Drosophila melanogaster: one gene and its partners. The protein of the gene in region 1 interacts with the protein of each later gene in a pairwise test. Each region holds a gene or a part of one and is shown in the gene's direction. Other genes may lie near its edges.

What was found. The genes of interacting proteins can lie anywhere in the genome.
Region 2: the proteins of ana2 (region 1) and Cp110 interact in a two-hybrid assay, tested with the Drosophila melanogaster proteins (one study listed by BioGRID).
Region 3: the proteins of ana2 (region 1) and Nek2 interact in a two-hybrid assay, tested with the Drosophila melanogaster proteins (one study listed by BioGRID).

Annotation. Positions count from the first base shown.
Region 1 is NT_033778.4:8,896,392-8,903,183, reverse strand, and holds ana2 (anastral spindle 2), read left to right. Parts: upstream 1-2,972; 5' UTR 2,973-3,063; coding exon 3,064-3,817; intron 3,818-3,868; coding exon 3,869-4,377; 3' UTR 4,378-4,455; downstream 4,456-6,792. Other genes in the region: Ggamma1 (G protein gamma subunit 1), read right to left, coding at 624-836; MrgBP (MRG/MORF4L binding protein), read left to right, coding at 1,877-2,291, 2,344-2,534; CG13751 (uncharacterized protein), read right to left, coding at 2,609-2,842; Sec31 (secretory 31), read right to left, coding at 4,607-4,795, 4,862-4,933, 5,011-5,319, 5,382-5,489, 5,554-6,792.
Region 2 is NC_004354.4:22,478,543-22,488,862, forward strand, and holds Cp110 (centriolar coiled coil protein 110kDa), read left to right. Parts: upstream 1-3,852; 5' UTR 3,853-3,998; exon of another isoform or gene 3,999-4,122; 5' UTR 4,123-4,194; coding exon 4,195-4,208; intron 4,209-4,296; coding exon of another isoform or gene 4,297-4,299; coding exon 4,300-4,480; intron 4,481-4,544; coding exon 4,545-5,984; intron 5,985-6,694; coding exon of another isoform or gene 6,695-6,709; exon of another isoform or gene 6,710-6,859; coding exon 6,860-7,093; exon of another isoform or gene 7,094-7,204; intron 7,205-7,400; coding exon 7,401-7,532; 3' UTR 7,533-7,542; exon of another isoform or gene 7,543-7,578; intron 7,579-8,515; 3' UTR 8,516-8,916; downstream 8,917-10,320. Other genes in the region: CG12576 (uncharacterized protein), read right to left, coding at 1,970-2,052; l(1)G0196 (lethal (1) G0196), read left to right, coding at 9,125-9,247.
Region 3 is NC_004354.4:7,887,662-7,895,360, reverse strand, and holds Nek2 (Nek2), read left to right. Parts: upstream 1-3,714; 5' UTR 3,715-3,861; coding exon 3,862-6,069; 3' UTR 6,070-6,295; downstream 6,296-7,699. Other genes in the region: p115, read right to left, coding at 1-1,234; CG45089 (uncharacterized protein), read left to right, coding at 1,875-2,039; ND-MNLL (NADH dehydrogenase (ubiquinone) MNLL subunit), read left to right, coding at 2,061-2,231; Acat1 (Acetyl-CoA acetyltransferase 1), read left to right, coding at 6,691-7,699.

The DNA of each region.
Region 1 (6,792 bases):
TTTTCAACAAATACAACAGATATTTCTCGAAATAAGAAGGCAAAATATAACATATGTATTTCCGTTTCGACTGAGTTTGCGTTTATTGATAAATTTGTATGTCGGATTAAGTTGATAGTTTTGTATATATAGAATTTCGGGTTAGGTAGAGTAGTAGGTGCTATAGTCAGCGCATTAATTGTCGTTATAGTTGGGATATTCGTGTACATTAACTGCGTTACTCATCGGAAAGGAAACAACTCTGATATCTTTGGAACAAATGCTTCGATTTAGATTTAGATATAGATTTAGGTTTGACATTGAGTTTGTGTTTCTGGTTTCGGACATTACTTGTTAACGTGGCTGGTACACATTGATATATCGATTCAAATATATATATATATTCCTCGCAATTGGAATTAGAATTGGAATTCAAACTTCTTGTAATGATATTGCTTATGACAATCGTAGCTTTTGTGGCTTCTGCACAACTATATATTGTTCCAGGTGGCGTTGATACTGGTACTGGGGTAGTACTCCACACACGTTTGCGTCCTAATCCATCTTGCTAAACTAAAAATAAGCTAAACGTCCGCCGGCGATCGCTGACTCCTCGGCAACGGCGGACCATCCTCACCGCCTCCTTAGAGAACGGTGCAGGACGACTTCTCGCGGAAGGGATTCACCTTCTGGCTGGTGAACCCGGTGAGCAGGTAGTCCTCCTGCTCGTGCTCCGTGATGTACTTCATCATCTTAGCGCATGACTCCGAGATCGTCTGGCGGTCGATGGCAGCCTCGCGACGCAGCTGCTCCACCACGACGCGCTGCTGCTGCAGGGATGATGACATTACGTCCATGATGGCTGTCTCGGATAGGCCTATGGTTGAAAAGGTTCTCAGTGTTACGGATACTGGGAAATGCAATTACGGGATAGTGGATTTGGGGTGGTGTGCTTGGTTGCTAGTGCTTGTGTGGCTTCGCCGAAGGGCTTGGTCTTTGATCTTTGGCTTTGGCTTATCTTATCGTATGATTCTGGGAATACTGGTTTGGATGGATCTTAATGGCTGGCTGGAAATAACAAGTTGGTTATATGTAGTTTAGATATCTCATTCTTTGTACAGGCTTCCCCATACGGGCACAACATCGAACAGGCGACACAAAGCTATAACATATGTGTACATTTTCGCGATTCTAGACAGAGATAGTTGGTAGATTGGTGTAGTTTAGTCAGTGTTTAGTACTAGGCGGGAAGTTAGGATAGCTAGATAGTGAGTCACACTACGCATTAACATATGTGTTATTTTGTGGCACATGTAAAGAACCGAACGCAGGCATTGGTTTCATCGATCGCATTGCTGATTAACTTTCCAGCCGAACTGGAAGCCTTGACGCGAACAAGTGCAAGGTTATTAACTGACCCCAAGTGGGCGTGGTGGTGGGCGGTGGGCGCTACTTGTGCCAGCACATGGAGAACCCGAGTTGTGTGCAAAAAACACTGCTCAACTCGTTGGGAACACCGAAAATTAGTTTTTTATGCAGAAATAGTGAAGGAGAACACACACACAAACACACGAAGGCGTACTGCGCCGTGTGGTTAGCAGAGGGATTATAGTGGAAAAGTGAAGTTTTCGACGGATGCACACACAACACATAACTATATTTGCACACTATTTGTTAATTACCAGCTCCGGCTTATATGTTTTTTTTTTTTTTAAATCTCGAACTCTACGGGCTAAAATCGAGCAAAGTTGACGAATAAAAGTGGATACACACCCAAACTAGTGATGTGCCGCGCGGCGATAGTTCGGGTGCGTGAGCGCACCCGCATACCATCGCTAATATTCGCGCAGAAAAACATACAATACGTATCAGTTTTTAGTTCCATGCGCTCTGCAAAATGATGGCCAAGGACAAGGGTCTGGCTGTGGCCGGAACGGCGGCCCCCTTACCGGCCGCCCTCGACCACGAGTGGTCCGCCGAGGAAGAGCTGCAGCTGTTCCATGCAATGGAAGGCCTGCGCCCGGTGGGCATCAACAAGCACTTCTACATGTCCTGCATTGTCCAGCGTCTGTCCAAGTCGCTGAACCGTGAAATGCCCAGCGAGCTGATCTGGCGCCACCTGGGCACCATGTACAAGCTGAAGGAACTGGACGATCTGGAGTCGCTGCCCTTTCCCAACGAGGAGCGCGAGTTCAGCCTGCCGGAGCAGGATTACGGAACGCTACAGACCAAAAAGACGGTGGAAGTGCATGCCAACGAGGAGGCTGCAGAGGCACAGTCGGCCCCTCCAACAGCAGAGACCAATGGCAAAGGTAGTTCGTTAGTTATCATCAGGATTCATTCACTTGTAATGTTGTTTTACAGCTCCACCTGCAACCAAAACGCCGGTACCGACGAATTCCACCAAGGACGGCGACAAAAAGCCCGTCGCCAAGCCCCAGGAGCAGCTGCCCAAGCGTCCGGCCAAGCGCACACGCGGCTCCATGTCCAACGAGTCCATCAGCCCCTCCACTACGCCGCCGCCGGTGCAGAGCAACAAGCGCCGTCGCATATAGGTGACCCCCGCCCGAAACTGACGATTGTTGATCCGTTTTAGCTCATTAGTTTTACTGTACTCTAATAAAAGGATTTATTCTTCGAAATCGTTGTCCTCCTCGTTGGAGCCGTTCCCGTTCTCCTGCGCCAGAACCTCGGTGGCCTGCATGTTTTCCAGGAGCGATTTGAGAAGGCGTCGGTTGAGATGGTCGGTCTGCGTCAGTTCCCGGACTGCCTGGGGCGGAGCATTCTCGTCTGCCGGTGCAGGGCTGTTCTCAGCTGGAGTCGGAGTCTCTGCCATGGCTTTGATGTGCTCCAAAACAGGCATTTTTCCCCCGAGAAATTTCAGCTTTTGCTATGACACACAGTCCGCTGGGTGACTCGTGCACTTGGAAACTTGGCTAAGTGTAGGGTACACTCGATAAAGTATCGATAAGTTGGCGTTTTACGTCAGCCCTAGTTCCACCCCTAAGTCGATCGACTTCCAATTGGACAGATTCTCCCGCTCGAATTTAATTTAATCGGCAAATATAAACAAATACGCTCCAAATGTTTGTTCCCGAAACGGAGGATATGCTGCCCAGACTAGCGCCCAGGCCGAGTGCAGCAGTGCCCATGGGCCACACCAATGAGATTATAGGGCCCACCGTGCCGGAGGTATCCATATTGTTTGGCCAGCCGCCGCAGGATCCGCAGATGCAGCCGCAGCAGCCAAATCATGCACATCAGGAGTCATCCCCTCGTGCTGCACCCACCTTCGCGTCCTGGAAGAAGCAAATGCTGCCCAGGGTCAACTTTTCGCCCATTTTGGCCACAGAACTGGGTCCTCGCACCGCTCCCAGCAGCAATAGTCCGTGCTCCTCGAAGGAATACCAAGTAATGCCCCGGGATCGCAACTATGCAAGCGATGCGCAGCAGACTACCAATCATATGAACTGCAATGCTGGTGGCTATAATGCCGAGCCCAAGCAACAGGCATATCAATCTAGGCGCTTGTCCAGCTCCTCCAACGCAGATGTCCTCACCATCTGTGCTGGCACACAGACCGATCCCTTCAACCCATCTCCTCCGCGAAAATCACTGCCCCAGGTTGTCTATTCCGACATCGACGTCAGCAACTTGGCCAATAAGAGTGATCTGGCGGCTCTGGTATCCCTTGTGGAGTCCGTGCGCCATGAGCAGCAACAGCTTCGGAATCTCTGCGAGATGATTTTGGAGCAACAGCAGCGAGCGAAACCCGAAGCCATTTCAAAAGCCAGCAGTACCACTGGCACCCAGTGCGATATTCTGACCACCAATCAAGGTGCGTACGTTGAATCTGTATGAAAAGAATCCAATAAAACATCCTTCCTAGCAGGTAGACGCTTGTCTCCCATTATGCAGGATTACATAGCAGAGGAGGAGGAACCATTGCCGCCGCCACAAGCACGAGTGATTCCTCAGTTTCCGTCTCCTCGACCACATCCGCCGATCGCCCAATCTACGGGCTACCGGGCCAATACGCCTCAGGCGAAGCGGATCCCTCAACTGGCCAAGCCCAACACCGAGAAGAGCATGGTGATGAACGAGCTGGCGCTGAAATACTTGCGCCAGCCAGTGGATGAGTTGATGAAGGATATGCGCCTGGGGGCGTCGCCGAAGTCCCCTAATCCAGAGCCACTGCGTCCGATCGACAACATAGGCCACGCGCAGAGTCCAAACGACATATCCAATGCTTCGTACAAGTATCTCAAAAAATACCGTCTGCTGCCCGAGGAGCAACTGGAGCCGGTGTGTCCACAATCTCCCATGGCGGCGACCGCCCCTTCGCCACATATTCAACTGGACTTGGAGAATATCAGGAACCAGCCGAAGCTGTTGTGAAAGCATGTACAATGTTCGTTTTGTTATTTATGCATATGTCTATTTGCGATTTAAGTGGAAATATATTTCAATACACGGAATAACGTTGACAATCTTCTGGTGATCCCAGCCTAAACTAACGTAGAGAACCACTCTTTGTATACAAAACATTTTGTGTTTGACATCGATATCTGAAGACACAATAAGAATATACGTTTAGTGAACTTGGCTGCGATCCGGCGACGGGGCTCTAACGCAGAACCAACTGTAGCTCGGATGCGGATTGCAGTAGGACCTTCAGTCCCTGCATAAAGCCCGCGCACTGCGCAAAGTCCGTTCCGAAGGCGATTTGCGTGTGGATTTCCATAGCATTGGCATAGTCGGATATTTGAATGTACTGAACTATTTGATTCAGATATTGCACCGTGGTGGGAGTGAGCTGGAATTAAAGTAAATGCCATTTGAGAATTGCAATTGAATCGCGATCTAAGGCAGCAGCTCTCACCTTTCCATCTCTCAGGCAGTCGTAGAGATTTTCGAGCCTCTTGACAACATCGACAAACTTTCGTTTTGTGCGCTTAAAATGTAAGAAAATTTATAAACAAAAGTAAGTTATTCCTTTTGTCTATATGGATCATTTATTAATAGACTTACCGGATCATTGGTTGCGCCCAGGCAGCGGTTCTTCAGCTCCTCCAGCACAGTCTGCAAGTAGATGTACTCCTCGGGGAGTGGTGGCTTCTCCTTGGGCGGCGCCGGTTGGCGCTGTTGCTGGATGGGCGCTGGCTGCTCGGTATAGCCAATGGTTTGCTGTTGTCCCTGCCAGTTTGGCTGCTGAATCCCAGGGGCTGGCTGCTGAGGCTGGAGATATGATTGCTGATGCTGCTGCTGCTGCTGGGGATTGTTGTTGAAGGCAGCCGGGTTGTAGTACGTATTGGGCACTCCTCCAAGTGGTGCTGCGTGCTGGAGAAAATAAATACATTTTTGATCTACTTCCTGACCAATAATCCGCTTTTAAATCCCACCTGATATTGAGAGGGGTCCACATAACCGTTCTGGTTCTGATTCGGGTCGACTGGGAACAGGGGATGGAAGATAGCAGCACTTGGCTCAACCACCGGCTTCGGCTTAGGCTGTTAGAGAAAGAAGCAAACAATTAGGATAAAGCCTATGACATTTCGTATACCAAGTACTTACCGCTCGCGAAGATTTCAGTGCAGGAGGATCGTTCCAGCCAGGTGGTGGTGTGGGATTGCGTTGCACATTCTGGATGACTGGTGGCACAGCCGGCGGTGGCATTGTCTCGATGGGATTCACACCGGGCACGAACTGATTCTGCTGAGCTGGCATGAGTGGCGAAGGGTTGTAAGGTTGGGCAGCCGCAATAGGATTCGTGTTGAACGCGTTGCTGTTGTACGTTGGCACGCTAGCTGGCTGGGGTGCGGGCCCAGGCACTCCTCCGCCGCCAAATGGAACCGCTGATGGAACGGGGGCCGGCACTGGATTGTATGGCATTCCGTAGGAACTGGTTGGAGCTGCTACAGATGGGTCCAAAACGTATTTGGAGCGGCCAGAAAGACCCGATCCGCCGGAGGATGATGCGCCGCCTGCTGGCGGCGGACCACCTGAAGAGCTGGCATTGCTGAGTGGGCGCGGTGGTTGGGCCAGGGGCTCTGGTTTCACAGGCTGCGGATTGAATATCTGCGGCGGAGCCTGAGGCTGCTGGGCTCCTGGGTAGCTTGTTTGTAGTGGAGGCACTTGCGCTGGCCAGCTGGGCTGTGCATACTGATTGGGCGGCTGGCCGTAGGGCATGGGAGCCGAAGGCTGTGGCTGCGAGAACGATCCACGACCACGAGTCGGTTGGTAGCCGTGTGGCGCAGCAGCGACTGCTGCCTGTGGCTGGGTGTAGTCCAGGTTGACAGCGTTATTTATCCGGTCTCGTAGGCTCTGCAGAACATCGCTTTCGCTGGCGGCAGCTCCTCCGCCCAAGGTGGTAATGTACTGCAGGGCTGCAGTCAGAGCACCCTGGGACGCAAGAAGACCGCCGTACTCAGTCAGAAAGCCGGCAAAGCGACCAGCCAAGTCCACGGATATGCCTTGCTGCTCCAACGACTTGCACATCAGCATCACCATCTCAGCCAAGTCCTGCAGCTCTGTGGTGTTGGGCTTGTAGCCGGGGTTCTGCTGCTCCAGCCGCTTTAACTGGTACCACGCGGTGACCAGTTTGTCGATGCTGCCGGCGCAAATGTAGCAGAGCATGGCGTTGCGCGTAAACTCGGCGCTTGAGGCGCACTCACTTAAGAGGCGATCGCCTAGTCGCTCGCAGATGTCCACCACCTTGCGCTCGCTGTGCTTGAGCGCGGCCACCAGGGCCTCCTTCCACGAGTCCACAGTGCATCTGTTGACGAAGTCCAACCAGTCGCGCGATACCAAAGC
Region 2 (10,320 bases), on another chromosome or scaffold:
GAAAAGCGTCTAATTAATTATCTCGCTGTTTCTCTGCTAATTCGCACTTTGGATTGATGTTGATGGGAGGGGGCGGTGCATTGGAACTTAGGCGGCAAGTTTTTCGAGTGGTGGTCAGTGGTTTTTCGGCACAGCCAGCGCATGTGTCGCAGTGGACACTCATGACACTGCTGCTATTGTTGCCTTCCAATCGTTTTTACCTTCCTGTACTTTTGTTTAGTAACTGTGGCTGAGAGCTATTGGGGCACAAGTGAAGCGGCTAAAAAGCAGAAAGCAAATATAGAGCAATTGTCGGGTTTAGATACGGACACGGAGAGCATTTAATGTATCACGGTTAATAGGTTGGGCAGATTGGTAGAAATATTTTATTATATGAAATGCTTGGGCTATACAATGTGCATAGCCCGTTTCCTAAACAGTGACCGGAAATAGTAACAAATGGTTGCAAAGAACTCAGCTCAATAGCAGCTCAAGATAATAACATTATTTGCACAGACAAGTATCATTTCATTCGGAGTGCTCTATCCTTTCGAATCACAGTGTGAATCGATTGGACTGAATTTCACAAGGACAAATCCATCCTGCAAATACGTTAGCCGAAATTATTCGCCGTATAGAGTTGTATCTGCGAAACGGCTGCGTGCATTCATGATGTGTATTTAATTTTATTCTGTTTTGGTTAATTGCGCCACACAGAACGCTTTAAATGGGCGGAGGAGTGGTCGGTGTGCATGGGCATGGAGTGACATTTTTATGTACAAGTGAGTATTTATATAAAGCAAGGACGGCGCAACGGGGCGAAGGGTGGGGCCTTTCAGTCAGCTAAAACGAAGGTGCAAGCACGTACAAAAGATCGCCGGCATACACACAGCAACCAACAGCGGAGCCTAAGTCAATAGAACTGATTTATAATCAGCGGAATTGAACGGAAATTGATACACTTTTTATCAGTTTAACAAGTGCGCAAACAAGTTATAATACTACTTTTAAAAATTGCCCAGTCTGATAAATAAACAGTAATCACGTTTAGTTTCACAAGTTGTGGATATTACAAAAAAAAAAAATGCATTTTTGTAGTTTTAATAAAAGAATAAATAAATAGGAACTAAAGAAAGGACCACAAACCACAAAATGCTAATTTCGGGCGCTTTTTAAATGTGTGCTTCACGGTCTTGGCCATAGCTGTATTTGGATGGCCATGTGCATGCACATGAGCTTCATTTCGGTGCGCTTTTACATACATACATATGTGGAACAATCTTTGTGTGCACACACATATATTCCGAAAATAAAACATTGCAACTTTCAGTTCGAAATTGGCCACGCAAAGAGGTTCTTTCTTTCTTTCCTACCTACAGCTCCACAATTTGTCTTGTGTGACCGACCATACGATTTTACACAGTATATTTTACATATTCACTTTGCTGCGCAGCTTTCTTTCAATGGGAACGAGACTGAATTGGCTGGGAAGAAATTCGGACCCGCTCGACCCAATTAAAATGTACATCATTTAGTGCGTAAATATACGCACTACGTGTCGCTATTTATTGAGATTACTGCCCTAATTAAAACCCGCCGACAATTGTTAACTTTTAACAGAAATCAGATTACAACTATGGACATTCATCCAATGTACCTGTTTCACATTTTCCAAAAACGGACGGACTCCCCGTAATGCCTACAAATTTTATTGTTTTTTATTTGTTGTCTTATTCCTCAAATTTAAACGCCGCACGTTTCAAACTTATCGATCAACGAAAATTGCCACTTTTACCAGTAATTAAGTACTAAGAACTATCTTGCCAATAAACTCTGATTGTGCCTATCTACTGAATTGAAAACTATAGTTTTAAATATGGGCTTAGAAGGGTCTTAAGATTCCCCTTTTTTTTTTGATACGAGGTCAGTTTTCTAGGAAAGCTGGATCAATTAATGGCAAAATTCTGGATGGATTGTTACTTCGACTTACCATGACATTAGGACGACTGTGACAACGGCTGCCGCTATGCAGTGGAACGTGGATCTTGACGGACGGGGCAGGACTTGGAACATTTTGTATGGGAGTAGCACCAAGATAGCACTTTGGAATCGCTTTTGTGGGTTGTGATTTCGATTTTCAGCTCCCGCGGTTGGCGGACTGATTTCCTTTCCGCTCCGCGATTTTAGGCGACTTCCGGTTCCCTTTCGCTGTCAAGTTTCGCTTGTTGTACGACACAATTACTTTACCGTTATGCCAGGTTCTGGGTCAGCTGTGCGCATGGGCAGAGTAACTGTTTTCGGTTTGCTCTCTTTGCTTTCGTCCTTCCCCTCTTTTATACCATCACTATGATTGCTCTTTGTTGAAAATCCGCGACTACTGCGTAGAAAATAAAATAACAATATTTATATGTAACTGTTGCATGAGCATTATTTCGGATACATGGCAATTTACCAAAATGTTTTTGTCATGTTTTTCTGGCTTTTGAGGCCCTGTCTCACTCACACAAGCGCACTTGTTTTCACAAACGTATACCGATTAAGAACAAAAAAAAACTCCGTAGTTCAGCATGGAAAAGGTGTCATTGGAACTGCGACTTTTCCACCAGTGATTAACCATTTAATTCGAAATACTTATTTCATCAACTTATTCCCTTGTTTTTCATAATTTATTGTCGCCGCCGTTGCTGTTGTTGTTGCTGTTTGCTGCTTGGCTTACCGGCTGTGTGCGAGTGAGACAGCAATGCAGCGTGGGAGAGGACGAAAGCAAGCATGTGGAAGAGAAACAGAGAGCGAAGCGCGTGGAAAAGTTGTAATAATAATAATAAGAACGGAGCCAAACACTAACGCCCAACTGAGCAGCAACAACAGCAACTACAGCCATACAAAACGTAAAAAACACCAAGTTGTTTGGCCTTCGATGTCTTTTTCAATTGCGTCGCAGAATGAAACACAAAAAAAAAAACAATACAGAAACACCACACTCAGCGTGTGTATGCATATGTACACATATATGTGCGAAACTTTGCGCTTTTTGTTTTTGTTTTCCTTACACTTTTACCGTATTTTTATAAAGGAAAGGGGCTAGGAATAAAGTTAGGGGTAAAAATTACTTGTATTCTACTTAAAAAACAAAGCTGATACTGTTGAAAAAAAATTGCACTCCCATCTCACGCACACACACACGACTGCATCTACAATGCAACTTTAAAGAGAGAAATCTGGAGCAATATAAACCGCAAATAGTTCATATTTGAAGTACAAACTCAGTTTTGCGGACGTTCTTTGCAAAAACGGTTTTAGATCGTTTTGTAACTAGATAACACACACACATAACATATGCAAACAGAAGTTACGAACACAACATATCGACAAGCTGTAATAGAACTCGCATACTTTTCGCTATAGCTGGTGACTTTCGAAAATATTATGTTGACTCCCGAATTCCAGGCAAATTCGATCGCGCCAGAGCAACAATCAGCGCAAAAAAACACATCCAGTGAATGTGACCGCGCGCACGGCGAAGGAAAATACCATCCGGCGCAAATCAAATACCAAAATGTACCACACCAGTTTCGATAACCACCTAGTAAACTGTTGAATTCGGCCAGCTGTTTCAAATTAGTTTGTTAAGAACCAATAAAAGTTAAGTTTTCGCAGACAATGTTTCTTTAATTTTGACAAGATTTTGAAGCATACGAAATATACAATATAAGTTCCTGAACACTAATTTAATCCACCGTTTTCTTTACTATAATTCTGGAAGGACTGAAAACTTGTTCCTCTGCTAATCTGTGGAGTCCTCAAATTTTCTCTAAAAACGCTACTTCCAAAAGTCCGGTTATCGATATCTGACGTCAGGGCTGCATGGACTTCGTGTGAGTTTTGAATTGCCGTTTGAAAATAAATGTTTTCCCCAGCATTAAAGCAGCATTTCTCATTGGCTCTTGATGGTAGCTGCGATCCACGGTAGAAACATTGAATACAAAACTCTCAACGATTCGGGATATCATTTGATTGATGTAATGAACTCTTCAGAGGTTTCCTAATTTTTGGCGGGAAGTCGAGGGCTCCCTAGTGCCATCGTCATCTCTAATGGCAACTAAAACATAGCAGACATTTAATGAACTTTCACAAAACACCTAGATTCAGCTGACCTCTGAGAAGGCTTCCTGACATTTCGACGTCCCAACAAAAATTCCCAGTAGCAAAACACCAATGGATGCGACGTGGTGAGTGGGTCTTGGGATTTTATGAATCCCGGTTGCTTACGGGCTTCTAATTACTGATTTTGCTCAATCTAATGCTTCTCCAATTAAGCAGGGCAATGGAGCAGCTGCTGTCTGCAGTTGAGATGGGAGGTAGCCACAGCGAGGCCACCACACCAACGGCCACGACCACCATATCGATCTGGAGCGCCCCCTCCGAGGGCAGTGGCTCTAGTTCCATGGACCCTGTCTCCTTTCGGTTCCACTTGGACGGGCAGCCTATACTGCCACCGCTGGTGATTTAAATTCTTGGTCAGGGAGTGGCATTTACTGAGGCGTAACCATTTTACTTTGTTCCAGATGACGAGCGCCAAGAAGCGCGAGGTGCAGCTGGCCCGCCAGATGGCAGAAGCGCTGGAGAAGCGGTACCGCCTGGCCAGACACTCGGCGGGATCCGACATGGCCAGTAGGAGAAGTGTGTCACAGCTGCAGCAGACAGAAACGTTAATCTATGACAGCACACGGGGCCAGGCTCGTCCTCAGACTCTGGTCTTTGGCAAACAGTTGCCCACCATACAGGTGGATCCTCCCACGCCTCAACCATTTGTGAAATCAATAGAAAACACTTCCCCAAGGCGGCATAATCGCATTACCGATCGTATCCTGCAGTTCGAGCAGTCGGGACTGGGTAAGCTGCTGCCCAAAGTTCCAGATAAGTGTATCCTGCGCACAAGTCCTGCGGTAGCCGAAGACCAGCAGGATCAGGATACAAAGGACACAACGGCAAGGGAGCTCGGCAGTCCACTGGCAGAACCAGCTAATTTTCAGCGTTCGAGAAGTTTCACACTAGAGGAGCCCTCCCAGGTTCTCGTGGAGCACATGGAGAGGGAGGCCCTGGCTGTGAAACCCAGCCAGAGTTTGGCCAACTTCGAGAAGCAGACCATCGAGTCTCAGGCCAAGCGGGTGAACCGTAGTGCAAGGAGTATTAGCAGCAAAATTAGCCACAACAGCTACAATAGCAACAGTAGCGCCGCAACCAAGAGCACCATCGCCACTAAAACCACAACCGCCGGCAGCAGCTGTTCTAGGCGGGATCGCGAGGTGGAGCGTATAATAGAACGGGCGCTGGACGAGCATGGCGCTTTGGAAGCCAGCCGCAAGGCAGGAGTGCGCAACTATCTGCGTGGCCATCGGGAGCGAATGAATCAATTGGTCATTCACCAGGAGAAGGAACGTCGTCGCATGCAGGCCGAGTTTGATCATCAGCAGCGTCAGCTCATAGAGGAACTGTGTGCCGAAATTGATGTTTCCTCGGCCACCGAAAATCCTGACAGTCTGATATCGCAAAGCACCAGTACGGGAGACCTGCAGCGTTTTTCCCCCTCGCCTACGTTACCCTCCTTTTCAGAGGACATAGAAGACTTTCCGACGATGGAAGACAAGTGCCAAATTGCGGGGCCTTCTTCCGCTCGCAAGAGGCTGTTTAGTCCAAAACCATCAAAGGACTCGGAACCGCAGCTGCTCAGTGCCCCCAGCACACCGCGATCGTTGCCCCTCCGGAACAGCAGCTTAACCAATAGCAGACGAAGTGTCCAAGTTGTCCGGCGCCGATCGCAATCTGTGGGCGGTAGTCTAGTAAAAACAATCACCGCAGCAGACCGCGAGGTGAAGAAATCGCCAGCGAAGCCTGGAGGTGGAGCAGGACGACCGAAAAGTTCCCCGGGAAAAAATAGCTCCATTATAGCGAAAAGGGGAAGCGCCCCACCAAAAAGCGCCTCACCGACCAAGCGGCTGGGCAATGTAAGTTTTTCAAGCGAATCTGAGCGATATTTTATTTGCTTTAAGTCACAAAGGTTTTCATTTGTGCCAACCTAAGTTAGCAGCTAATTTGGTTGGACTCTTACTTTAAATCTCTGCTATTTGACCTTTCCTTTTATTTAACTAAAGCATTAACGATTTTTTATTTATGGTCCTCTATTTTTATACCCGTTACTCTTAGAGTAAAAGGGTATACTAGATTCGTTGAATAGTATGCTACAGGCAGAATGAATCGTTTCCGACCATATAAAGTATATATATTCTTGATCAGGATCTATAGCCGAGTCGGTCCGGCCATATCCGTCTGTTCGTATGAACGTCAAAATCTCAGGAACTATAAAAGCTTGAATATATGTTGGATATTTTTCACAATTTTATTAGACATGTACATTTCTATTGACATTTTTAATTAATTTTTAAATTTTTTCTCATTTTATTCCCAATTTTGTATCGATATCCCAGAAAAATTATGATGAAATTTCTAGTTTGCATATCCACTAGCTGAGTAACGGGTATCTGATAGCATTCTTTTTTGCTTTATATTGATATTGATATTGATATTCTTAGCATAATCACTTAATATAATAATTAGGTATTTTATCCCTAAAAAAGTGAAAACCTTGGCGATATAATCTGTAATATCTATTTCCTGTACTCCCATTCTATTATTTCCTCTTCCCCAACACAAACAGCGCAAGAAGCCCTAGCAATTCGGGTAGTCAGTTATGCAAGTGCCTTAACAAAGACTGCGAGGAAATCGAGGGACCAAGCCTCTAGCACCAGTAGCTAACCTAATTACTAACCCAACTAGCAAGTGCCTTCGTTCCCTGTTTAATTTCGCCTCTAATCCCTGCCAGAAATATGTCGAGCTGAAACAGGAAGAGCGCCAGTGGGCGGCCACACGTATTAATGCCGGTGTGCGAGGATTTTTGGTCCGCCGGCTTTTTGCAACCGAGCAAGTGCAGCGCATTGTCCAAACCATCAGAGACACCCTGATCTTCGTGTTGAACCTGCACCTGGAAACTTGTGGACATGGCCTGGATGCAGAGGAGCCTGCAAACTTGCGCCTCAAGGCGCGATTGCTTCAACAGGTGGGTTACTTGGTTACTTGTCTAGGTGTAAAAGGTGCCAAATGTGTACATTAGGCTTGGATGATAAAACTAGAAATTAATTATTATCTGAGTGAAGGGTATGCGATAGTCAAAAAACTCGACTGCAGTGTTACCTACTGTGCTTACATTGACTTTGGTTTAACTTTGAGTAAGCAAAACCAAAACTACTGGTATTTTAGAATAATTAATGCGATTTTATATAAATATTTGATTTGAAATTGCCTTGTTTGCAAACTTAATACAAGCTGACTACTTTTTCCTTTATATTCATTGAATTAACTCATAGCTCTGCTCCGCCAGTCGTACCCTGCACCTGATCTTCTTCCAGACCAACATAAAGGACCGCATGGAGATCATCGCTCGGGATCGCCAGAGGATCAAGACCAAACTACTCCTCAAACATCGCCGATTGGATTAGGATTTCATAGGTTAGATTGCTCGAATAAAGGAGGAAACGATAAACGAAGCATTCTTGTTTTAACTAAACACATTTTTATTAAGTTTAAGTTTTCTGGTTCCACTTTCTCTCTATACATTTTTACATTTTTGTACCCTTTTTGTACTCTACGAGTAAATGGGTATACTATATTCGTTGAAAAGTATGTAACAGATAGAAGAAAGCGTTTCCCATTATAAAAAGTATATATATTCTTGATCAGGATCGCTAGACGAGTCGATCTGGCCACGTCCGTCTGTCATTACGTCCGTATGAACGTCAGGATCTCAGAAACTATACAGGCTAGAATGTTCAGATTTATCATGCAGCTTCCAGAGACATAGACGCGATTTGCCAAAAAACTCTGCCACGCCCACTCTAACGCCTAAAAACAGCCAAAAGCTGTCAAGCCCACACTTTTGAAAAATGTTTTGTTTTTTCTACGTTTTTTTGCTTGTTTTGCCCATTTCTATCGATATATAATAAAAAAAAACTCCCAAAACGGCGTTTGGCCCACAGCGCCCACAACTCGAACCATTTACATATATATTTTTTCTCATTTTATTTCCCAACTTTGCGTTGGCATATTCATTAGCTGAGTAACGGGTATCTGATAGCCGACTATAGCAATCTCTCTTGTTATTATTTAATTTGTATTATGGAATATATATATTTGAGCTGAAATGGAAGAAAATATGTATATGTTAATACTTAAATATTAAGTATATTTTTAAATATTAAATATTAAAAAAATATTAAAATAATATAAAATTTAATGGGTAGATTCGGTAGTATCCTTAACTACATACACAAATTAATTCTTACGATTAATAAGCAATTCTAACAAACAAATATACATACTAGTCGCAATATTGAACTGAAATACATTTATATACTTATTTTTGGTTATATCTCTCTATTATCTTTTTAATACCTTTTAATACCTTTTCTTTCTTGATTTACAGAACAGCTGTTTGGCAAAAGCCCGCGTGATTTTTTGCAGCCAAGCTTTCAAGACATTGCGGAGCTTTCTAGACAAATTCGCCCTGAAAGCTGCGGCGGATTGCCAAAACAAACGGAACTTTTAAAGCGAGTAGTCGTGTGTGCGTGTGATGGCCTTAAAAGAAAACAGCAAAGGCAGACAAATAATCAAAAGCGAGAGAAAACTAGTTTAATAACAATTAATTATTAGTGAGCACGTAACCCACAGCAATTGGCCGACCTCCCGCTCATCCTGTTATTCACCCAGCTGCCCGCGTGCCTTGCCCACCCAATTCCATAATTCCGCCGGCGGCGAATTTAGAACGACACACCAAATTGAAAAAATAATAATACAAATAATAAAACCACACCAATAACAGATTTCGTAACTCGTAAATCGAAGGACAGTGAGAGAAAAAATCGTTAACAAAAATATAAGCGCACACTTATATTTTTAACACGCGGCAAAGTTGCGTGCGTGGGGGTGAGAGTGAAAAATGTAAAAACAGAATACGAAAAACGTTTCCCAGTGTTGTTGTTTGCTCCTTGTTTTGTTTGGATAACTCGCACTAACACCAACACAAAGGATTACCATGTCCTACACCGAGTTGGAATCAGGGTACCAGGATATATCCCAGCAGCATCAGCAGCAAAATCCGCATCAAAGTCAGCCGCAGCAGCGGGTCGGTTTCTACTTGGGATTACAGGATGGCAACGTATGCGCTCCACCGTTTTACCACTAAAATCTAGCGTAACCCACTAAAACACATAATTTTTTTTATTTGCATACTATATGTGCTATACATGCACGTATTTATTTTTAAAACAAGTCAAATCGATTTTTATTTAATTTTAAATAGTGTTTTATAAGAATGTGAAATATAAAATTATGAGCATTGAAAAAGTATTTAAACCTGGTGTTATAATCTAGCTGACTTCGACTGTAGATTTTTACATGCGGAGAGCTGACCCTGACTTTTTGCGGCTTTTTGCAGTGGAGCTTTTTCTCTTCCTCCGCCTCCTACTAAATTCTTCTCATTCCTTTGCTTCTTCCCAACAGCTGACTGTTCAATGTCAATGCCAAAAGCTTTTGCTCTCGGCTCTTTTACTCGTTTTCTAATGTGTGTTTGTGTGTGTGGTTTTGGAATAAACATAATTTACATCCCTTGAGCACCCTTCCAGCGAAGAGATAACCAAACAACAGTCCAAAGAGTAATGAGCAACAGCATCGATAAATTCGTGGCAGGGAGAGTGGCGTTTTGGCGGACGTCGCTGGCTGACGCACGTAAGCTTCACTCCAAATGTGGGCGGTGCGTTGCGGTCTACACTCGAAAAAATAATATAAACAAAACTGCCCCCAAACTGTTTAAAAATAACTAGGAATATTACAAAATCTTTGAGAGAGGAAATTTAAAAACAAGCAACTGGGAAATAAAATAACAAATGTCTTAGAATATTATGAATTTGATAAAATAATGAATAATAATAATAAAAATCGAATTTTTGAAATTTGAAAGCTGGAGAGTTGGTCTGCCCACCGATAAAGTTTTTTTTGCCCACGTCCAGTTTTCGAGATCTGAATTTTCAAAAAGTTCGAAAATTGAAAATGAAAATTTTTTTAAGTCGCAATTAGATAGTTGGCGTTGTGAATAGCCACCACAACGATGAAAAAAGTAAACATTTTTTTTTATAATATTTAGTTATAAGAGATGGGCAAACGCTTTATTTTCTGAGTAGACCGAGATTAACCTGAATGTCTTATATTTTCTAACGTATACATTTTTCAAAA
Region 3 (7,699 bases), on another chromosome or scaffold:
GGGTCTGTACAACCGCCCGCTGGCCATCGGCATTGCGATAAAGAAAGCACTCGAAACAGTAGAGTACGGCGCAACGCAGTGCCAGCAGTTGTTTCTCATTGATCATGGACATAAGAAGGACCACGATGGCAGGTCTGGGTGGACTGCTCGGAGCCATAACTCTTCCCAATTCATCCTGGTTGTCCCGATCGCCGCGCACCACTTCGGCCACTGCATTGATGGTTTCCGTGAGTATATCCGCAGGGACACCACTGCTCATCAGAATCTCGCAAAGAGCATGGAGCAGTCGAGACTTTTGCATGACCCGCTGGCAGGCGGCCACCACCTGCTGTTGATTACTGGGCGTGACCAGTGCCCGCACCACCTGCAGCAGACAATGGAAGTTTGAGACCTTCTGTGGCGACCAGCCAACCTCTTCCGCATCCTGTGAGAGCTCAAACATTGGCGACAATCGCTGGATATAGCTGCCCTCCTTAAAGAACTGCTGATTACTGGAGTTGTTCTTGAGAAGATTCAATAGCAGAATTAGGCAATCCTCCACAACAATTCCGCCATCCGAACAGCCCTCCTCACGGACAATTTCAAAAAGGCGGTCAAAGGCATTCTCAAAGGCCACAATCTTTTGGATGTTTGAGTTGCCCTTGGTCAGTTCGATAAGCAGCAGAAGGACATCGTTGCGAATCACTTCGCGGCTGTCCGTCAGCAGATCCATCAGCTTGGAAACGCCCATCGGACTGACCAGAATCAAATCCTGCAGCTCCCGCGTCTTGTTCGAAATGAGGGACGTAATCAGTTGGATGGCAGCGCGACGCACTCGAAAATCGTATTCGTCCAGATAGCCCATTACCAGGGTTACATGCTCCGGTGTCTTGATGAACATCTCCGTGAACTGCTCGCCCACATTCACCGAAACGGTGGGATTATCAGCCTCCTCGTCGAACTCCTCGCTAGTAACCACGTTGCACAGTGTGTCCAGCGCATAGCTGATGATCTCTGCATCCTGTCCGTCGTTCTGGAGCACCTGGACCAGCGGAGGCATGCCCTGTGCGCCCACCTCGATGCGGTACTTGCGGGACAGGGCTTTTAGCGCTCGGCAGGCATCCCGTCGATCCTCCAGGAGCGTTGAGGAGTAGACACGGTCCACCAGCTTCTCCACCGTCTCGGCGGCACTCGGCTGCTGACCCGGCTCCGTGCTGCCCAGCACCGTTTTGATGCCACTCTTCAGGAACTCCATGCGAGTGTGTGTTTACGGTCTATTCTGGGTTTTTTCGCATTCAACAAGACACGTCAATTCATGAAAACAATTGACGGGCGGCTTAGCGATGGCTAAAGTCCGATAGACGCCCACTTATCGATAAGCGGCTTGTCTTTAAATATATTAAATATATTTTTAGAATTACAATTTACCATATTTGACCATGTTTGTGTAATTACCTATATTTACACTTTTTTGATAATCTAAAACTTTTTTTTGAATTACATAAAATATTGCTACTTTCTAGCTGACGTCGGGACTTAAGCTGAGTGGCATCCCTGTCGGCGATAGTCTTACTGCCAAAATTTTATTAAACTAAAAACGACTCGACAGCCCTGGTGCTATCGATGCTATAAGTAAGTTGAAAACAAAACTAATTTAGCAAATTTGTGTTTAAAACTAAACGAGAGAATCCCAAAAAATACAATATAAAGCGTTCCACACACGCGGCGTAAGAAGTTCTCAAAAATATCAACACAGTTATCACGACGCTGGGAGAAATCACTCGTTTTTATTACGTAATGCGGCAAAATGTCAACCCATAACATAACAATCCCCACATCAATTTGTGTAAATCATATGTAAATCTCGCCATCTCCTGTGCTTGTCTTGCAGACCTATGGGCAGTGGGATTGTGGTTCAATTGGCTCGAAAGTACGGCGCAGTGATATTCTTTCCCACTGTTGCAGTCGGATCGATTTACGCAGATTGGTCGCACACCCGCCAGTGGAAACGCCAGCAGCTCCAGTTGGCACACCGAGCCCAGCTGAAGGATCAGCGCTAAGAGGATACACAAATATACACCATGGTCTTGGGACTGGATAAGCGAGCACTGTGGGGCGCGTTGCCCCTGCTGGGATTTGCCATTGGCCACTTCCTGGACAAGAAGGAAACGGAACGTATGACCATGTTCCGGGACAAGAGTGCCCTATACGGCCGTCCCGCCGGCAGCGAGGGTAAGGCGCCATCCTGGTAGGCCTGCCCAACATCGCCATCCCAAAATATTATTTTTTTTCCCCCAATTCACTGTTATTCAATAAACCGGAGAAATGTGAAATACGCCTGTCGTCTAGTTTACCTGCATGGCCAGCGGACGAGATTTGCGGTCGGGAACGTGATTTATTTGTGAAGGATTGCGTACCATTGTTTGTTTTACTCAGGAAAAACATAAAAACCTCAACACACGTCTAACGATAAGCCGAAAACCAATGAAAAATCCAAGGAGATAACTCGTTTTTCGAAGGATTTTACCTGGGCATCGCTGCACGATATGCGAGTTCTGCTTAGTTCGGATCAGGGGCGTAGGCTGGATATTTTAGAAGAGCATTGGTGTATTCTACCAAAACTCTTATTATTTATTGTAGAACTTCTTGAGCATGTCACATAAATCACTTGAAATGTGGTAACCGAGAGTAGTCTTTTTAAATGAGTTTCGTTAAATGGCATTGAATTATCTAATACATGTGAATCGAGATTTTTAAGAATTAATAGAAAAAAAAAACTTTTATAAGCATGAGCCCCCTAAAAACTTTCATTTGCACGACCATGCCTATATGTACTATGTAACTGCTTCCAGTAAAAACCGTTAGACAGAATGGATAATCGCTCACTTCAAATATGAAATATGAAATCCGATAAGGACATTTCCACTTTAACAAACAAGGCAGCAAATTGAAATGCCAATGGAACAAAACTAATTTATTTTTATGGCTCAGGGCTAGGGGTTTGTACTCGGTTTTGGATTCCGGTTTAAGATCGGTTTTGGGCTCGAGTTCCAAAATTGAGCGTGATGAATCGCTGGAATTGTGTTCTTGGGCGTGCTGCCCCTCTCTAGACCATTGTTTCCAATGGTCAGTAGTTTGTACACAGGCGCAGTGGGATCAAATGGAACGGATTTTCCAGATTTTCGCCTTTCAAGGGCTTTCTCTCTCTCACAGCGGGGGAGAGCGTGAGCGAGAGGGTGAGATGCCAGAGATTTGCAAGTGGATACCGTTGAACTGTGGTTGGGAGCGAGAGGGTAATAGCACGATCTTTGTTCCTGGAAGGAAACGAGAGATCCAGACGTGCAACAATAACATAACAGTGCTGGTGTCTCTCGGCGGGAAAATAGCCAAATTGGGCATTAGCATGCAGGTGCGAAAGGGTTTTATGGAGAGGTTATTTATATGAAGGTCAGGTTGAAATGACTGCTATCAATTTTAATCGGTAGTTGTCTTGTATATTGGTTTTTAAATAGTTTTGTATTTTAATCCATATTACAATTTCTTAATTTAATGATGAAATAGCTATTTGTTTATGTATGTAATTATATCATTAGATTGCATATTTGCAAAATGTATTTTGTAAAAATTACAAATCTAGCTTGTTTTTAGAATATTCATTCTTCCGCCCTATTTAGCGGGGTAGCGGCACTACTTAAACCTCTCTCTCGCGCACTTGTTGTTGCTCTCTCTCCCGTTCTTGCAGGTAGCAATGAGAATTCCAGAAATCCTGCATCCCAAAAACCAGTCTCAAATCGTGTTTGGGTTTTGTAGCAAGCGGATCATTTGTAATCGGCGGCGGAATACCCAAAATACCCAAAGAGTAAAAAAAAGACTTAAGGCAAAATGAGCGGAGAGGAATCTGCCGGCATGGACTTTTCGCAAAAGACCCTGCAGGATTACGAGGTTTTGGCCGTGATGGGGAATGGATCCTTCGGCACCTGCTACAAGGTGCGCGACAAAAGCACCGGTGAATTGTTCGCCTGGAAGGGAATGAACTACGATGAACTGGACGAGGCCAAGTGCGACGCTTTGGTTTCGGAAATCAGTGTTCTGCGGCAGCTCCAGCATCCTAACATTGTGCAATACTACCATCATCTGGTGAACCGAGAGGCCAAGTCGGTGTACATTGTTATGGAGTGCTGTGCCGGCGGCGATCTCGCCCAGATTGTCCAGCGAGCGAGATCCCAGAGGCAGCGGTTTGAGGAGCCCTACATCTGGCGGGTGCTCTTCCAACTTTGCCGGGCGCTTCAGGTGTGCCACAACAAAATCCCCAACGGAACCATCTTGCATCGCGATATCAAGCCAGCAAATATTTTCCTGGATGCGGCCGGGAATGCCAAACTGGGAGATTTCGGTCTGGCCAGAATGCTGCGACGAGATCAGAGCTTTGCCGCCTCCTTTGTGGGCACTCCGCACTACATGAGTCCGGAGTTGGTGAAGGGCAGGAAATACGATCGGAAGAGCGATGTCTGGGCCGTTGGTTGTTTGGTATACGAGATGTGTGCCCTAAGACCGCCGTTTCGCGGCAGAGCCTTTGACCAGTTGTCCGAGAAGATCGCCCAGGGTGAGTTCAGTCGGATTCCGGCAATCTATAGTACTGATCTGCAGGAGATCATCGCCTTCATGCTGGCAGTGGATCATGAACAGCGTCCTGGCATCGAGGTTATCATTCGGCATCCTCTGGTGGTGCGTAATATTAGCGAGTTGGATGGCAAGTTCCCAATTCTAGTTGATTCTGGAGAGGATTTCTACACACTGCCTTCGGGTGCCAGGCTTTTCGAGGACGAAGAGGAAGATGGAGTTCATCCAGAGCTATCGAGCACCATGTTTACGGAACAGTACAGCTTCAATGAAGGCTATGGGCAAAGGAGACTCAGCGTTACTGGTGTGTTTACTCCAGATTTGCGAAGTGAACTCTTCTACTCCGCCAAGCGCAAAATCTTTCCTGCCAAGAAACTACAGCTGTCGGATCCCTCTCTTTATGAAAGTATAAGGAGAGAGGAGCGAGCGGAGGAGAGGCAGGTGGAACTGGCGGAAGAGCGGCGCCGTAAAAAGGATCAGGAGCAGCAGAAAAGGGATCAGGAGCTTCTAAAGGAGGCCCCTAGCAGTCCTCGTGCTCTTACCCAAAACATATTCGATGAAGTACTAAAGACCCGTCTCCACGCCATTCGTGCCCAAGAATCCCTGTTGCAGCAGAAGCTCGAAGAGCTGCAGACCCGGGAGCAGGAGTTACAGCTGGCCGAACAGCGCGTGCAAACGCTGGAGCGGCAGATGCAGGAAAAACTTCTTCAGCAGGAGAAACACACTTGTAGTTGCAGACAGCCGATAGCTCCGCCCATTCCTCCTAGGAAGCCAGCGAAATCGCACCATGATGACACCTACTGCACTATCGAACTCAACGAGACGTCGCCCACGGTGGCTAAACTCAATTTAGCCACACTTCCGGCACCAAAATCGCTAAATACTCTGCGTAAGGTTACCTTCAAGTCGCCCCAAAAGTTTGTTACCTATGGTATCGAGAATATGCCCCCACCGGCGGTTAAACCGGCAGTGAATCCTCCGCCCACTGGCGTTCCCATGCAAATGAGCGTATCCAGCAATGATTCCGGTGACAGCCAGGCCTCCTCCACCCGCAGGAAATCTATACTCTCGCTTTTCGGGTTGAGTCGCGGATCCAAGGCGACATCCAAATCCTTGCCATCGGTCAACCAGGTAGCCCAAGCAGCTGCAACTCGCGTGCAGCGACCTCCTTTGGCCGTCAAGCCACCGATCACGCAGGAACAGCCGGCAGAAGTTCCACCAGTGGCCAATCTCTGGACAAAGGAGCAGAAGAAACAAGCCTTCGAGCTGCTGGCGGCCATGAATGCAGCCGAGAGGGAGGCAAGCGGAGGTGGAGTCGTTGGTTCTGGACCCGGAGGAGCACGTCGCCAGCATCTGCGGCAATCGGTGAGGGAACGGAATTCCACGCTGCAGCGGAACCGCATGCGGAGGTCTTTGGTGGTGGCCACTGGCCATCAGAAGCTAACAACGCGCGACCAGATGGTGATCTGATCAAATTGATCAGGAAAGATGTGCAGTCCAGGAGCCATGGCAACCATGGAGACTATGAGCGTTGTGATGTGGAATAAGTTCCGAAATATTTACATTTTTTTTATGCAAAAATTTTTTTGAATGCCATATTTTAAACACGTATTATTAGCATTAAGATTCCAGTTTTTTCAGCTGCCATTCATTGTGCAATTTGCATTAGTCTTAAAATAAATATTGATGAAATGAGATACATTTGTGTTTAAAATTTCAATTTTCGTGTTTTTATTTATTGTTGTTCGCTTGTAACCGTTAAGTTCAATTTACGCATTTTCAGTGCTGGGTATTGTAAAAAGAATATATAAACTTAGCATTGCATCTTTACAGCGTAGTTTTCAAGCAATATACTTAAAACAGCAAAAATTAAAAATTACATTTAAAGAATGCTAACTAATAGAAAATTACCAGTCGCTTTAATCTTATTTAACAGTTGCCAACACTTTTACCGCGCCAGCTGTTGCCTATCGATAGACCGATTACCGGTTTGTTACGCAAGCAACAGGTCTGGCGTGATTTCTGATTGGATTCTTGCCATTTACCTGTGTGATTGCTGTGCTAGTTAATACAAATTAATTAAATTCCAAGATGTCCGCCCGACTGCTGCAGGCCACGCGTCGCTGGAGCGCCCATCGCAACTACAGCTCCAAAATCGCCGAAGTTGTGGTGGTTTCGGCAGCCCGCACACCAATTGGCAGCTTCCAAAGTCAATTGGCCCCACTGACGGCTACCCAATTGGGAGCCCGTGCCATCGAGGCGGCCATCGAAAAGGCCGGAATTGCGAAGACCGATGTCCAGGAGGTGATTATGGGCAATGTGGTATCTGCTGGTCTGGGACAGGCCCCCGCCCGTCAGGCTGCCATCTTCGCCGGACTGCCCACCAATGTATGCTGCACCACGGTGAACAAGGTGTGCTCGTCGGGCATGAAGGCCGTTATGCTGGGCGCCCAATCCCTGATGCTCGGCTATGCTGATGTGGTCGTTGCCGGCGGTATGGAGTCCATGTCGAATGTTCCCTACTATCTGAAGAGGGGAGCCACGCCCTATGGCGGCGTCAATCTCACCGACGGCATTGTTTTCGATGGCCTCTGGGATGTGTACAACAAGTTCCACATGGGCAACTGTGCCGAAAATACGGCCAAAAAACTGGAGATCACACGTCAGCAGCAGGATGACTTTGCCATTGAATCATACAAGAGATCGGCTGCCGCGTGGGCCAACAAGGTGTTCCAGGACGAGATTGCCCCGGTGAAGATTCAGCAGAAGAGGAAGCCGGAGATCGTCATCTCAGAGGATGAGGAGTACAAGCGGGTGAATTTTGACAAGTTTGGACAGTTGGCCACCGTTTTCCAAAGGGAAAATGGCACTGTGACAGCCGGAAATGCATCCACCTTGAATGATGGCGGTGCCGCCGTGGTTTTGATGAGTGCCGAGGCAGCCCAGAAGGCGGGCATTAAGCCGCTGGCCAGGATTGTGGCCTTCCAGGATGCGGAGACCGATCCCATTGACTTCCCCATTGCCCCAGCTCTGGCCATTCCCAAATTACTGAAGCGTGCCGGCGTTCGCAAGGAAGACGTGGCCATGTGGGAGGTCAATG